Linked DNA regions of Macaca mulatta. The protein of the gene in region 1 purifies or fractionates together with the protein of each later gene. This does not show direct contact. Links are inferred from orthologs where the notes say so. Each region holds a gene or a part of one and is shown in the gene's direction. Other genes may lie near its edges. The genes, in order: MED12 and VDR.

Region 1 (7,495 bases):
AGTGGGCTGGCGTGGGAGGGCAGGACGGGGCGCGGTGGGGGGTTCCAAGGTATGAATAGGGGGTGGTGTAGGGGCCGCACCAGAAGCGCCCTCCTCCACACACATCTCAGAAAGTTGTCTGAGACAGCTTGGTGGGGTACGGCTGCTCGGATGTTCGCAAGAGAAGAGTGATGTTTGAGGGCGCCCTGGGTGATTGGGAATCGTAGTGACCATGGGGGTGACGGTGGGGTCCAAGTGAATGTAAGGGCCCAGCTTTAAGTAACGATCTGTGCTACACGGAACCCTCCTCCTGCCCTTTCACCTTGTTCCTTCGCTTCTCCTGCCCTACTCTCCCATCCCCTCCCCCTCCCCCTAAGGAAAAAACAACTAAACGCCGCTTTCCTGCCTCAGGATGAACTGACGGCCTTGAATGTAAAACAAGGTTTCAATAACCAGCCTGCTGTCTCTGGGGATGAACATGGCAGTGCCAAGAACGTCAGCTTCAATCCTGCCAAGGTGAGACAACTCTGCCAGGCTGAAGGAAAAGGCTGGAAGAATCTGAGAAGGAGCAAAGGCCCTGGGTAGGGAAGACTTATAGGGACAACCTAAGTGGCTGAGTTTGCCTTCATGACCTAATGCTGTCTCATTGGCATTTGCCCAGCAAAAGGCAGGCCACCTGTCTGCCCCTTCTTCCCACCCTGAGGTACAGTTTTCTTCCCTCAGATCAGTTCCAACTTCAGCAGCATTATTGCAGAGAAGTTACGTTGTAATACCCTCCCTGACACTGGTCGCAGGAAGCCCCAAGTGAACCAGAAGGACAACTTCTGGCTGGTGACTGCACGATCCCAGAGTGCCATAAATACTTGGTTCACTGACTTGGCTGGCACCAAGCCACTCACGCAACTAGCCAAAAAGGTAAGGTACTGTTTCCTGTCCTTCAGGCCAAGGAGGGAGCATAGGGTACCAAGTATCCTCCTATTCCCATATTAAGCTACATGGGTGTCAGCTCATGGGGATAATAGAGACCTCACTATTTGCAATGTCCATCCAGGTCCCCATTTTCAGTAAGAAGGAAGAAGTGTTTGGGTACTTAGCCAAATACACAGTGCCTGTGATGCGGGCTGCCTGGCTCATTAAGATGACCTGTGCCTACTATGCAGCAATCTCTGAGACCAAGGTTAAGAAGAGACATGTTGACCCTTTCATGGGTGAGTAACTCCTAACACCAGGTGTACGGCTGATGGCTTCAAGGAGGGATAGAGACACCCTTGCAAACATCCTCCTTCTTAATCTAGATTCCTTGTTTCTGCTTGTTTCTTGCATTTGCTTGATCAGTAAACACTGAGAAATTTGAGTGTCTACTGTGCACATATACTGGTCTACAAAAACGTCCAGTGCATAATCTCTGCCCCTAGGATACTAGTAGTCTAACAGGGCTGCTAAGGTATATGTACAAATAACATAATTAAATATAGAAGGTGGTGAATGTCAAGCTAGGAGCAGAAGGTTCTTTGAGTGGACAAAAGATTACTTTCTTATGGGGATACCCAGAAAGGCTTTAGGAAGGTGGGATTTGACTAGAGACAAAGGATGAACTGAATTTACAAATATGGTGGGTGATTGGGAGTGGGGTAAGGTATTCTAAGTAGAAGGATATTCTTTTTTTTTTTTTTTTTTTTGAGACAGAGTCTTGCTCTGTCACCCAGGCTAGAGTGCAGTGGCAGGATCTTGGCTCACTGCAACCTCCACCTCCCGGGTTCAAGTGATTATCCTGTCTCAGCCTCCCAAGTAGCTGGGATTACAGGTGCCCACCCCTGCGCCCGGCTAGTTTTTGTATTTTTAGTAGAGACGGGGTTTCACCATCTTGGCCAGGCTGGTCTCGAACTCCTGACCTCGTGATCCACCTCAGCCTCCCAAAGTGCTGGGATTACAGGCGTGAGCCACCGCACCGGCCAGTAGAAGGAAATTCTAAGCAGAAGGATAGTATCAAATAGCCCTTTTTCCCTGTTTCCTCCAGAATGGACTCAGATCATCACCAAGTACTTATGGGAGCAGTTACAGAAGATGGCTGAATACTACCGGCCAGGGCCTGCAGGAGGTGGGGGCTGTGGTTCCACGATAGGGCCCTTGCCCCATGATGTAGAGGTGGCAATCCGGCAGTGGGATTACACTGAGAAGCTGGCCATGTTCATGTTTCAGGTAGGGAGTAGGGCATGCTGTGTGGGGCATTAGGTTGAGCCTGAACTTGTACTCTGCCAATAGAGAACAGAATCTGCTTGCCACCTTGCCCCAGTTGTGGTTCTCTTCATCTTTTCATTTACTTTATCTGCTTCATCTCTAATAGTCCCCTCTTCCCTCCCCTGGTACCCATAGGATGGAATGCTGGACAGACATGAGTTCCTGACCTGGGTGCTTGAGTGTTTTGAGAAGATCCGCCCTGGAGAAGATGAATTGCTTAAACTGCTCCTGCCCCTGCTTCTCCGAGTAAGGCTTGGAATTTTGGTGGTGGTGGGGCAGGGGGAGTCTAAGAAGGATTTAAGGAAGAATAAAATGTCAGAGCAGGGTCCCCTGGAGAGAACTAGGGGCTCTGATGGTCATGTCTTCACAGTACTCTGGGGAATTTGTTCAGTCTGCGTACCTGTCCCGCCGCCTTGCCTACTTTTGTACACGGAGACTGGCCCTGCAGCTAGATGGTGTGAGCAGTCACTCATCTCATGTTATATCTGCTCAGTCAACAAGCTCGCTACCCACCACCCCTGCTCCTCAGCCCCCAACTAGCAGCACCCCCTCGACTCCCTTTAGTGACCTGCTTATGTGCCCTCAGCACCGGCCCCTGGTTTTTGGCCTCAGCTGTATCCTACAGGTAGGTACTAGGCGGGCCCAAGGAAGCATTGAGAGATAACCTGAGAAGAATTGGGTGCCCATCCCAGAGTATAGGGGTAATTCCAAATTGGATGTGGGAGTAGGTGCTGAGTACTTGCTTGGAGGTGGTGGTTTCTTGGTAATGGGGTGTTAGTCCCCTTTGGGGGTTTTGACCAGCCTCTCTCTCCCTTCCAGGGCTAAATAGTAGGCCCAGAGCCTTTTAGGAAAGTGAGTGAAGGGAGGGGATCGGGTGGAGTGATGCCTGTCTTGGGGGCCCAGTCAGAATAACTTTGGATCTGGAATCTACGGGTTTGGTCTTAGAATGGGATTCCAGAGGGGTAGCCATGTGAACGAGTTGGACTTAGCTGTTTCTATCTGGCAGACCATCCTCCTGTGTTGTCCTAGTGCCTTGGTTTGGCACTACTCACTGACTGATAGCAGAATTAAGACCGGCTCACCACTTGACCACTTGCCTATTGCCCCCTCCAACCTGCCCATGCCAGAGGGTAACAGTGCCTTCACTCAGCAGGTATGTCTGACCACTCGCCTGGTACTCTCAGATTGGGCTATGAGGCTAAAGTGCTCTCTCAGAAATAGTGATTTGGAGTCTGGTACTATTCTTCTAGCCTGGGGCTCTGGCCTTTTGTATGCCTTGGTACATCCTTATAGCCTTCCTTTTTAACATTGCAGGTCCGTGCAAAGTTGCGGGAGATCGAGCAGCAGATCAAGGAGCGGGGACAGGCAGTTGAAGTTCGCTGGTCTTTCGATAAATGCCAGGAAGCTACTGCAGGTATGTGTCGGAGAACAGATAATAGGAAGTATGTTTGAGGAAAGGATGGAGATAGTAAGGACATGTAGATCTGAGAGCCAGAATGCACTGGGCCTCTAGTTCAGTCCCCTTTACCACTTTTCCTCCTTAGGCTTCACCATTGGACGGGTGCTTCATACTTTGGAAGTGCTGGATAGCCATAGTTTTGAGCGCTCTGACTTCAGCAACTCTCTTGACTCACTTTGTAACCGAATCTTTGGATTGGGGCCTAGCAAGGATGGGCATGAGGTAAGCGAAAAGGGGAATAGAAGGAGCAAAAATCATTGCAAGAGCAATAATATATCTGAGGGGAAGTCATGGTGAGGCATTGAAAGCAGAGCATATCTGCAGAAATGATCTTACTGGGCCCAGAATGTTTTATGATGGAGTGCAGTCTTCAGGAAATTGGAACTCATTTCTTTGTCCCCACCCCTACCTTACTCCTCCCTCTCTTCCTTTGGTCTCCAGATCTCCTCAGATGATGATGCTGTGGTGTCATTGCTATGTGAATGGGCTGTCAGCTGCAAGCGTTCTGGTCGGCATCGTGCTATGGTGGTAGCCAAGCTCCTGGAGAAGAGACAGGCGGAGATTGAGGCTGAGGTTAGAGGGCAGAGATAAGAGAATGAGATTGGCCAATGGGAAGGAATTTACTGGGGTTGGAGACCAAGAGATGGAGGTGGTGGAGGGACCAGAGTTGAAGGTGTGAGAACAGAGGAAAGAAGTGGAAGAGAACCTAAAGGCAAAGTTACGGACATGAGGTGAAAGTAGAGAAGAGTGGATTGTTATCAGAATTAGAGATAACATCAAGGCTTCAGTTGGGAGGTGGTAAAGAAGATGGAGGTCAGCAGGGGAATGAAAATGAAAAGCATGGGGTAGAGGTCAAGCAGGTAGTAGTTTAAGGCCTACACATTGAGGAGTGAAGAAGCAGGTAAAAGTCAGTTCTACAATTTGTTCTGTCATCTTGCAGCGTTGTGGAGAATCAGAAGCCGCAGATGAGAAGGGTTCCATCGCCTCTGGCTCCCTTTCTGCTCCTAGTGCTCCCATTTTCCAGGATGTCCTCCTGCAGTTTCTGGATACACAGGCTCCCATGCTGAGTACGGACCCCTACCACTCTCTAGTTGCGTCTGCCTAGACTCAGTTACCCGCCACTGTCATCAAAAAGTATATTTCTCTCTTGGGCTCTATGCAGAATGACTTTTAGATGTAGTTCTAGTGATCCTCTTTAACTGATCATCTTACAGTTAAAGTAGAGAAATACAGAGAAGGATTAAAACAAGAGCTTGTGATTGAAGCATTTTCACTGCGTAAATCGCAACAAAGATATTACATTCCTTTCTGAGATGGTGTGTGGGGCAGCATGTGGGGTAACCAACCACGCTTTGTCCCTCGACAGTTTCTGGGATTTTTATTTTATCACTCCTATTAATTGCCTTAGGTGTGTCCCTCTCTCTTTTGGCCCACCTTTTTGTGTTCTCCTAACTCATGTTTCCTCATTCCCTTCCTCCAGCGGACCCCCGAAGTGAGAGTGAGCGGGTGGAATTCTTTAACTTAGTACTGCTGTTCTGTGAACTGATTCGACATGATGTTTTCTCCCACAACATGTATACTTGCACTCTCATCTCCCGAGGGGACCTTGCCTTTGGAGCCCCTGGTCCCCGGCCTCCCTCTCCCTTTGATGATCCTGCCGATGACCCAGAGCACAAGGAGGCTGAAGGCAGCAGCAGCAGCAAGCTGGAGGTGAGTGGGCTTTTCCTTGCCCTAGATCGTTTCTTCTGACATTTCTATCTTCATGGCTCCCAGAGGCCTCTAAGAGCGTCTTTTGCGTGGGGCAGGGGGGTAGTATTTTCTTAGCACTTGGTGATTGACCAAGCACTATCACATCAATTGTTTCATTGGTTCCTCCCATCAGCCTTGTGAGGTACTCTTGTCCCCATTTTCAAGCTGAAGGAAGCAGAGGCCTATACTGGTTAAGTGATTGGATGACTTGACTCCAGATCCTGTGCTTTCCACAATCTGGTCTTCTCTCTCCAATTCCCCCGTGAAGTTTTCTAGATGGTGGGAGCCGCTCCCTAGGGCTAAAGCAACTTTGCTTATGTTCTATGCCCTCAGGATCCAGGGCTTTCAGAATCTATGGACATTGACCCTAGTTCCAGTGTGCTCTTTGAGGACATGGAGAAGCCTGATTTCTCAGTAAGTTCAATCCTGAGCGTGGCAGAATCTGGCTCCTTTGATCTTCCCATTATGCCTGCGTTTGGCATTTCTTTACCCCCGCTCATCCCCTTTCCTTCTTCTCATGTTCTGCCTTCTCGCCTTTCTCTCAGTTGTTCTCCCCTACTATGCCCTGTGAGGGGAAGGGCAGTCCATCCCCGGAGAAGCCAGATGTCGAGAAGGAGGTGAAGCCCCCACCCAAGGAGAAGATCGAAGGGACCCTTGGGGTTCTTTACGACCAGCCACGACACGTGCAGTATGCCACCCACTTTCCCATCCCCCAGGTACTGTTCCCCAGCACCTGGTGATGATCTGTTTTGAACCTAGATTGCTGTCCAAGGAATTTGCTGAGGGGTTGGAGCTGTTCCTGAGGATGTGGGTTGGGAAAGGGAAGGGCTTTAGCATGTGGATGCTGAGGGATGTGGAGCATGATTTCAAGAGGAGGGAAGGAGATCGGTGCTGGAGTCTGATGGTGCTGCTGGGATGCAGGAGGAGTCATGCAGCCATGAGTGCAACCAGCGGTTGGTCGTACTGTTTGGGGTGGGAAAGCAGCGAGATGATGCCCGCCATGCCATCAAGAAAATCACCAAGGATATCCTGAAGGTTCTGAACCGCAAAGGGACAGCAGAAACTGGTGGGTTTGAGGCTCCTTAAACAGATCTCCCCCAAAGAGTGCCCTAGTCAGTCTTCCCTTCCCCAGCATAGGGAACTCCCCAGTCATGTCCCAATGTCCTGTCTCTTGGAGTCTCCTGAGAGCTCTAGTCCTTTTGAAACTTCCCCCCTCATTCCCCCCCTCTACAGACCAGCTTGCTCCTATTGTGCCTCTGAATCCTGGAGACCTGACATTCTTAGGTACCTCACAGTAAGCCCCATACTGCCCTCCCTCCCTCTCCCTTCCCTCCCTCAACCTAGCACCTCCCTGTACATATTCCTTTAAGGTCCACATAGTCTGTGGTCCTCTAAACCTTTGCTTCACTGTCCCCTTCCCTTCATTCCTCCCCCATCCCTTCCCTGACCCTCCCTTCCCTGTTTCCCTCTTCCTTCCTTCCCTCCCTCCCTCCTTCCCTCTCTCCCTCCCTCCCTCCCTCCCATAGCCTTCTCTCCATACCCCACTCCCTACCCCTAGTCAACTAGTTATCTTCCCTATCTTGACTGGTCCCTTTCAACTGTCCCCTCAGGTGGGGAGGATGGGCAGAAGCGGCGACGCAACCGGCCTGAAGCCTTCCCCACTGCTGAAGATATCTTTGCTAAGTTCCAGCACCTTTCACATTATGACCAACACCAGGTCACGGCTCAGGTGTGGGCCTAAGCCCAGCCCCTTTCCCACATTCTGGCCTCCTCTCCTGTTTTCCTTTTCTTCCCTATCTTCTCCCCGCTAGGCAGGCTAAGCCTCCTGGTCTCATCCCCTTCCACTGTCATCCTTTCCTGCTTCCCTGGTTCTTTCTTCTCTCCACTCCCGTCTCACTCCCACTGCCCTTATCAGGTCTCCCGGAATGTTCTGGAGCAGATCACGAGCTTTGCCCTTGGCATGTCATACCACTTGCCTCTGGTGCAGCATGTGCAGTTCATCTTCGACCTCATGGAATATTCACTCAGCATCAGTGGCCTCATCGACTTTGCCATTCAGGTGGGGAAGTT
Region 2 (7,495 bases), on another chromosome or scaffold:
GAGAACATGTCTTGCATGGGAATAACTTGCGCAAAATTATTTCACGCTGAGCAAGGAGCTTAAAAGGAAGTCAAAAAAAGCTTCTGAGCAACCATGTAGGTTTTACAAAGTCCATATGCCAAAACTCATGCTCTTCAGACACCTAATCACCAGGGAGTACAACACTCTTTCAGAATCTGTTTACTCTTATTCTAGGTCAATGGCTTCATATATTATATAGTGTCTTCCTACATGATAGTAATGACATTTTAGGTTCAATCCATTGAAAAAATGGTAAGAAGTTTCCTATGAAATTAACAAGCTCTTTAAACAAATTATTTCATAAATCACAGTGCATTTGCATATGTGGAAGACTTTAGACTTATTCAGTCTTCAAGCAATGTTGCCTTGCAGAAGGCTTACGGATTGGGCCTGTTTGAAACTGGTGGATCTCAGCATTTCTTCCTCTACTACCTGCATAGAAGATGATGGTTGCTATTTGATGCAAGTGACTTGGAGGAATCATGTTATAGGGTTAAACTTGAACTCTCTTTGTCTCTTTAAAGTAGGTAATTTACAAGCTTTGTGATTTAATTTTATTTTCTCACTCTTCAGATGGATTGGAACACAATGTGTGTCAAAACTCCAGGGCTGAAAGCCAAGGTCCGCTTATAGCCACATGTAATCAGACACAGTAGAGGCTAGTGGTTATGACCTTCCACTCCAGAACCAGACTGCCCAGGTCTAAATACCAGTTTCACCACTGTTAGCTGTGTGACTTTGAGAAAGGTAGAAAGCCTCTCTGGGCCTCAGCTCCCTCATCTGCTACATGGGAGTAACAATAGCACCTGCCTTAAAGGGTTGTCATGAGGACTAAATATATGAGTTAATATACAAAAAGCTCTTAGAATAGTGCCTCATAGATAGAAAAAGTCTATATGTGCTATCCAGCATTAAGAATATTTTCCTTTTATTACATCAAACTTGATCACCAGAACTTCTAGCTCCCAAGAGATCAAAAGTAAGTCTTAAGGGGTAGAAAGGCACACTCCCGGAGGCAGACACCAATAAGAAGAGACAACGCATAGCTTAACAGAGAGGTGGACACTGGAAGCAAGAAAAGTAGCCCAAGAACTCCAAAGCCCAGCACGCCGAGCCGTGCAACGCGGGGCATACAGCCTCCGACAACTCCGAGGCCGTAACCTTGTCCTGCAATGTTCAGTAATTATTCAGAATGATACCTCTGAATCATCAGGGAAAGGTTATATGACGTTAAAAGTGTTCCGTTACAAGGTTTTCTGTCTTGAAAATCTTTCCATAACAATTGTTTCAATAAAAGAGGTCAGCTTTGCTCAGCTCTCTGGTGTGCCAGGTGCCATTCCCTACATTGCAAGAGACAAGCAGCACTGGAGTACTCACTAGCCTTTCCTGAGCCAGGAAAATGATTTGCACACAGTTAGTGTAATCTGTGTGGATGCATTTGATGTTTGGTGCCAGACTATTGAGCAGACACCACAGCCAGGTAGCCCATCCGGTCTAGCCTTTATGGGGAAAATATAAGAATTATAAAACAAAGGCCAGGAGTGGTAGCTCGCGCCTGTAATCTCAGCACTTTGGGAGGCCAAGGCGAGCGGATCACTTGAGGTCAGGAGTTCGAGACCAGCCTGGCCAACATGGTGAAACCCCGTCTCTACTAAAAATACAAAAAAATCAGCCGGACGTGGTGTCGTGTGCCTATAAACACAGGTACCCTGGAGCCTGAGGCAGGAGAATAGCTTAGAACTCCAGGGAGTGGAGGTTGCAGTGAGCCAAGATGGTGCCACTGTACTCCAGCCTGGGTAATAGAGCAAGACTCTGTGAAAGGAAGAAAGGAAGGAAGAGAGAGAGAGAGAGAGAGAGAGAGAGAGAGAGAGAGAGAAGAAAGAAAGAAAGAAAGAAAGGAAGGAAGGAAGGAAGGAAGGAAGGAAGGAAGGAAGGAAGGAAGGAAGGAAGGAAGGGAAAGGAGGGAGGGAGGGAGGGAAGGAAAGAGGAAAGGAAGGAAGGAAGGAAGGAAGGAAGGAAGGAAGGAAGGAAGGAAGGAAGGAAGGAAAGAATTGTAAGACATGGACCCTGCCCTTAAGTAACTTGTAATCTAGAGAAAGAGACCTTGAACTTCTTGGGCTCCCTCCATAGGTAATGAATTAAAACCTGTGCTAACCATGAGTCTTACAGAGCAGAAGATAATTGGGTGTCAATGTGTGTGGGAAAGACTAAATATGTCACAGGCATAGGAAATGAGGCTCAGCAGAAGAAAACGAGGCTCGGTGCAGTTCAGGGCAATCAAAAAATGCTTCACAGAAAAAGATGGCTATGATGTAGGCACTGAAGAACTATAGAACTCATACAGGTATTGGGGAGAGGAGACCCAGCTGGACAGGCACCCAGCACAACTGGAAATGCAGGGGCAAGTATGAGCAGGCCATGTTCCCAGGCCAGCAGCAATGCCAGTGTGCCCAGAACAGAGGCTGTGTCCAGAAGCACTAAGACATGAAGTAGGAAAGTTAGTAAGAAGCCAACTTCAGTTTGGACGTGGTCAGCAGTAGGGGCCGGGAAAAGTATCTGGGCAGGAGAATGGCCTCACAGAATCACTGGAAAGTTAGCAAAGTCCAGTCAGGCTGAGCTACATGCCTGTAGACACCATGGTGTGGCTGGCAGAAACAGGCCTCCCTAACTCCTCTGGTCCCCAGGTGAGCAGGAAAGACAAGACACCTAATCTTGGGCTCCCCAAGTGAGGGCTTAGCCCCATTGCCTTCCCTGGATGCTCCCTGCCCCTTCCTCTCCCACCCTGCCTGACCTGGTAGGGTCTGTGCAGACACCCACTGTGGGAGGAGAGTTGGCAGCTGTTAGGGCAGGTGAGTCAGTCACCTGGGCGTGGTCTACTCCCAGGCTCCCCATAGAGGGAAGCATCATCTCTTGCAGTAACACTCGCTTTCCTGCCATGCCTGTGGCACTGGCTGTCCACTCCCACCCAGCATAGGCTCTTCCTCCCTCCCCACCAACTTATCTCGCCCTCCCCCTACCTGAGGGCCTGGGCCAATGGACCTTTCTCGAAGCCTGGAACTCACCCACCCTGGGCTTCTGGTTCCTTTCCCTGCTCTTGTGAAACTCCCCAGTTCTGTGGGCAGATGCCCTGGCAGCACCAGCACCGAGCAAGTAGCTACAGGCCAAGGGCCCCGGTGCCCACTCCTGCCATCAGCGCTCAGCAAGCCACAACCAGGAGGTCTGTTTGCCCAGCCGCTGTGCCAGGCACCTCTGCTCCCAGCATCCCCCCAACCCCCACAGCTACCCCAGCACAGGGAGGCAGGCACAAGCCTGCAGGTGGTGTTGGAGCTCTCTACAGCCCAACACCCTGATTAGTGGCTGTAAAGAACTTCCAAGATTAGAGCTGCAAGGCCTCACCCTTTGGGGCCTTCAAGAGGACTTGAAAATTTCCATGGACAGAAATGTCAAGGCTGTACAGGCTGGAGGAGGAGTGGTTTTGCAGAGAACCAAAGAGGCCTAGTCTTTCTATATTCCACAGTCCCATGTCTGGAAACTTGGATGTGGAGATAGCCACACAGAGGGTCCTCTCCACATCTCACTTCCAGCGCTGTGAGAGCTCTGGCATCCTTTCTCCACTCTGATGTCTCCTTCAGGTTCATGGAACATCAGGATAGGGGAGAGATGAGAACTAACATTTCGTGAGCATCTGCTCTGGGCCGGGCATGCATCCAGTTCTCAAATCAGTTGATCCTTTGAGGCAGGTGTTATTACTTCTCCCACCTGCATGTGAACACACACACACACACACACACACACACAGACACACACACACACTTTATGGAGGAAGGTACAAGAAAGTAACCTTGGAAGAGCTTATATGGTCCAAATCTCTCATTTTACAAACAAGAGAACAAAAGCCCAGAGAGTTTGCCCAAGGTCCCACGACTCATTCTTGAGAACCCCCGACTCCCTAAAGCCCAGACCATCCCGCCTCTCAAATCGTCTTTTTCTTCTTCTTGCGTGTACCTTCCTTTCCACCATAGCAAACCCAATTTTTCTTCACACAGTGGAGTGGGAGTCCCTGTGGCAGGAGGACCCCCGAGGGAGCCCCGAGTGTTAAAGCCCCTCCTATCTTGGACCTTTACCCACAACCACAGGAGGAAGGTTTTCTGGAGGAGCTGCTGGCTGGCCCTCCTGACTCCCCTTCCCACCCCACAGTCATCCTGACAGATGAGGAGGTGCAGAGGAAGCGGGAGATGATCCTGAAGCGGAAGGAGGAGGAGGCCTTGAAGGACAGTCTGCGGCCCAAGCTGTCTGAGGAGCAGCAGCGCATCATTGCCATCCTGCTGGACGCCCACCATAAGACCTACGACCCCACCTACTCTGACTTCTGCCAGTTCCGGGTATGTCTACCTGCTGGGAGGATGAATCGGTCCAGAGGAGAAGCACTAGTGGAACCAGGGCCCAGGGAGTAGGGACAGAGGGCAGGGGACATCCTGAACAGAACTGGGGTAGGGACGGAGGCTGCTCTGACTGCTGGCACTGAGAGGCTTCGCCTTTCCATAGACCTTCCTCAAAGCCATTCCTATCAGAGATCAGGGCCAAGGTAGGAAAATGACCCCAAAATGTGGGTCTGAGACCCCATCTTTCCCTTCCAGCCTCCAGTTCGTGTGAATGATGGTGGAGGGAGCCATCCTTCCAGGCCCAACTCGAGCCACACTCCCAGCTTCTCTGGGGACTCCTCCTCCTGCTGCTCAGATCACTATATCGCCTCTCCAGGTAAGCAGGACTTCAGTCCTCCATGGAGTAAGGGAGCGGGGGTGAGGAGTCCACCCCACCTGCCCTGGGGCTGCTGGATGGAAGGAGGTGGAAGGCTCCCTAATGGAAACTTACATACATACTGTGTGCCATGCAGTGTCCTCAAAACAGCCCGTCTGTTACAGAAGGGGGTGACTTGCCCAAAGGCCCACACTGGGGAAGAGGCCAAGCTGGGATTCCAGCTGTGCAGCATCGGGCTCCCGGGCCCATGCTTTTTCCTCTAAGCCAGGCTTCAGCCCATGGCCCCAGGTGACCTGCTTCCTTTAAGTGATATTTTAATCCTGGGCCCTTCAGAAGGTGAAATTTGGAGTGGGAAGGAGAATGTGTTGGTCCCATTGCAGCCCACCTTCCACCTGAGCTCTGGGGACCACTCTGGCCCTGGAGGACCTGTCCCCTCCAGCTCAACTGAGAGTCTGGGAGGCATCATGCTTTCCTTCCTTCCTTTTTTTTTTTTTTTTTTTTTTTTTTTGATATGAAGTCTTGCTCTGTTGCCTAGACTGAAGTGCAGTGGCACCATCTCGGCTCACTGCAACCTTTGCCTCCTGGGTTCAAGCGATTCTCCTGCCTCAGCCTCCTGAGTTGCTGGGACTATAGGCACGTACCCCCACACCTGGCTAATTTTTGTATTTTTAGTAGAGATGGGGTTTCACCATGTTGGCCAGGCTGGTCTCCATCTCCTGACATTGTGATCTGCCCCCTTGGCCTCCCAAAGCGCTGGGATTACAGGCGTGAGCCACCGCGCCCCGCCCATGCTTTCCTTCTTATGGCCTTTTTCTTACTTCCTCTTCATCACCCTGCCTCATCTGCCCCCTGCTCTTGTCCTTCCTCCCTCTACCCCTAACCTGACCCTGCTGTCCTCTGCTTGGGGTCTGCAGGAGGGCAGGGATGGGAAAAAACTTTCCCCTCCAGGCAATTAGAACCTTAGATAAAGCAGTTCCATACTCAGTGATGAATCTCTGCCCAGATCCAGAATAGATGGAAAGGGTCCCAGTGCCCCTGGACAGAGATACTAGTTAGAACACTTGCTCCCTGCATGATCAGCTGACCCTCCCAGCCCCTCACCTCGTAGGAATCCCTCCCACTTGTCACTTTTCTGTACTCACCTTCCTGCTCTTTTCAGTTGATAGCATATTTATTTATATCAATTAAGGCCAGTCTGTTTAATCCATATGTTGTTCTGTATTTCAGCTTTCAATAGTAATTCTATACTACTTAGGAGGCTTTTTGTTGTTGTTTTTTGTTTTTGCTTGTGTTTTGTTTTGTTTTGAGACAGAATCTCACTCTGTCACCCAGGCTGGAGTGCAGTGGCACAGTCTCTGCCTCCCCGGTTCAAGCCATTTTCCTGCCTCAGCCTCCAGAGTAGCTGGGATTACAGGCACCCACCACCACACCTGGCTAATTTTTGTATTTTTAGTAGAAATGGGGTTTCACCATGTTTGCCAGGCTGGTCTCGAACTCCTGACCTCAGATGATCTGCCTGCCTTGGCCTCACAAAGTATTGGGATTACAGGCATGAGCCACTGTGCCCTGCCTATTTAGGAGTTTTTTGATACCCTCTTGTAAGTTCACTGATTCAAGGTGCTTAAACCGCCCTCCCCACAAGTGGTGTGTTCAGTATAGCATATATTTATTTAAAAATTCAAACAAGTTAACCTTTTTATTTTTTAAAAAAATTATTATACAAAAGTAATACATGTTCATCTTAGACATTTGGAAAACATAAACTAAATTATATATATATATACTTTAATCCTGCTACCCAAAGATAATCACTATTAGCACTGTAATATATCTCTTGCCTCTTTTTTTAAAAACACATATGTACATTCAGAAAAGAAATTTTGCTGTATACAATCTGATGACTTGTTTTTTTAATATTGCATTGTTTTTCCTTACAATTTAGTATGCATCCAGAACATAATTTTTAAAGGCTGCACAGTATTTTGGAATACAATAATGTACCTAAATCCCCTACCATTGGATATCTGGATTATTTCCCAGTGTTTTAGTAAGACAACAGTATACTTATAGCTAAATATTTACACTTATCTGAAATTTTCCCTTACAATGAATTCCGGGAAGTGGGATTACTGGTCAAAGAGTACACACAATTGTTTCACTAATGTCAAATAGCTTTCTAGATTACCTGCAGTAATGTGCATCTCCTTTAGCACCCCAGCCCTCATAGGCATTGCCTATTTCCTACATCTTTATAAATACTGGCATCAGTATTTAAACATTTTTGTTTCTGGTTTATAGGTGAAAAGTGTAGATGTTCTACATTGCAGTTCTTTGATCATTAGCAAGGTTGAACATTTTTTTCCATGGGTTGATGGGTCCCAAATTCATTTCTGATTGAGATCCGTAGGAACAGCACATGGTCTGCTTGAGGAAGTCTCATTGCTCTGAGTGTCTCTGGCTCCTTGCTTTTACTGTCTCACGCTGCTGAAAGAGGCAGAGAGAGTCCCAGAGGGAAGCCTGGGCTGAAGGGTGACCTCTGGCATCACTGCGGGATTCCCAGCTGGCTCTCCTGCCAGGGCACACCAGGTCTTTGCAGGGGCTGGCAGGAGTGGTCCTGGTCCAAGTACCCTTAAATAGCTCCTTCTCTTCCCTCATCTCCCCCAGACATGATGGACTCGTCCAGCTTCTCCAACCTGGATCTGAGTGAAGAAGATCC

What was found.
Region 2: the proteins of MED12 (region 1) and VDR purify together in Homo sapiens (affinity purification with mass spectrometry; 3 studies listed by BioGRID, with this or other methods). This does not show direct contact. The link is inferred for Macaca mulatta from reciprocal best matches to the Homo sapiens genes MED12 and VDR.

Annotation. Positions count from the first base shown.
Region 1 is NC_133426.1:77,583,822-77,591,316, forward strand, and holds part of MED12 (mediator of RNA polymerase II transcription subunit 12), read left to right. Parts: intron 1-390; coding exon 391-495; intron 496-702; coding exon 703-894; intron 895-1,030; coding exon 1,031-1,187; intron 1,188-1,996; coding exon 1,997-2,178; intron 2,179-2,352; coding exon 2,353-2,463; intron 2,464-2,587; coding exon 2,588-2,842; intron 2,843-3,223; coding exon 3,224-3,370; intron 3,371-3,531; coding exon 3,532-3,631; intron 3,632-3,761; coding exon 3,762-3,898; intron 3,899-4,117; coding exon 4,118-4,249; intron 4,250-4,616; coding exon 4,617-4,743; intron 4,744-5,156; coding exon 5,157-5,386; intron 5,387-5,758; coding exon 5,759-5,839; intron 5,840-5,970; coding exon 5,971-6,141; intron 6,142-6,346; coding exon 6,347-6,491; intron 6,492-6,658; coding exon 6,659-6,709; intron 6,710-7,035; coding exon 7,036-7,154; intron 7,155-7,340; coding exon 7,341-7,484; intron 7,485-7,495. UniProt on the Homo sapiens protein: Component of the Mediator complex, a coactivator involved in the regulated transcription of nearly all RNA polymerase II-dependent genes.
Region 2 is NC_133416.1:54,955,892-54,963,386, reverse strand, and holds part of VDR (vitamin D3 receptor), read left to right. Parts: intron 1-4,218; coding exon 4,219-4,403; intron 4,404-4,658; coding exon 4,659-4,779; coding exon of another isoform or gene 4,780-4,806; intron 4,807-7,416; coding exon of another isoform or gene 7,417-7,443; coding exon 7,444-7,495.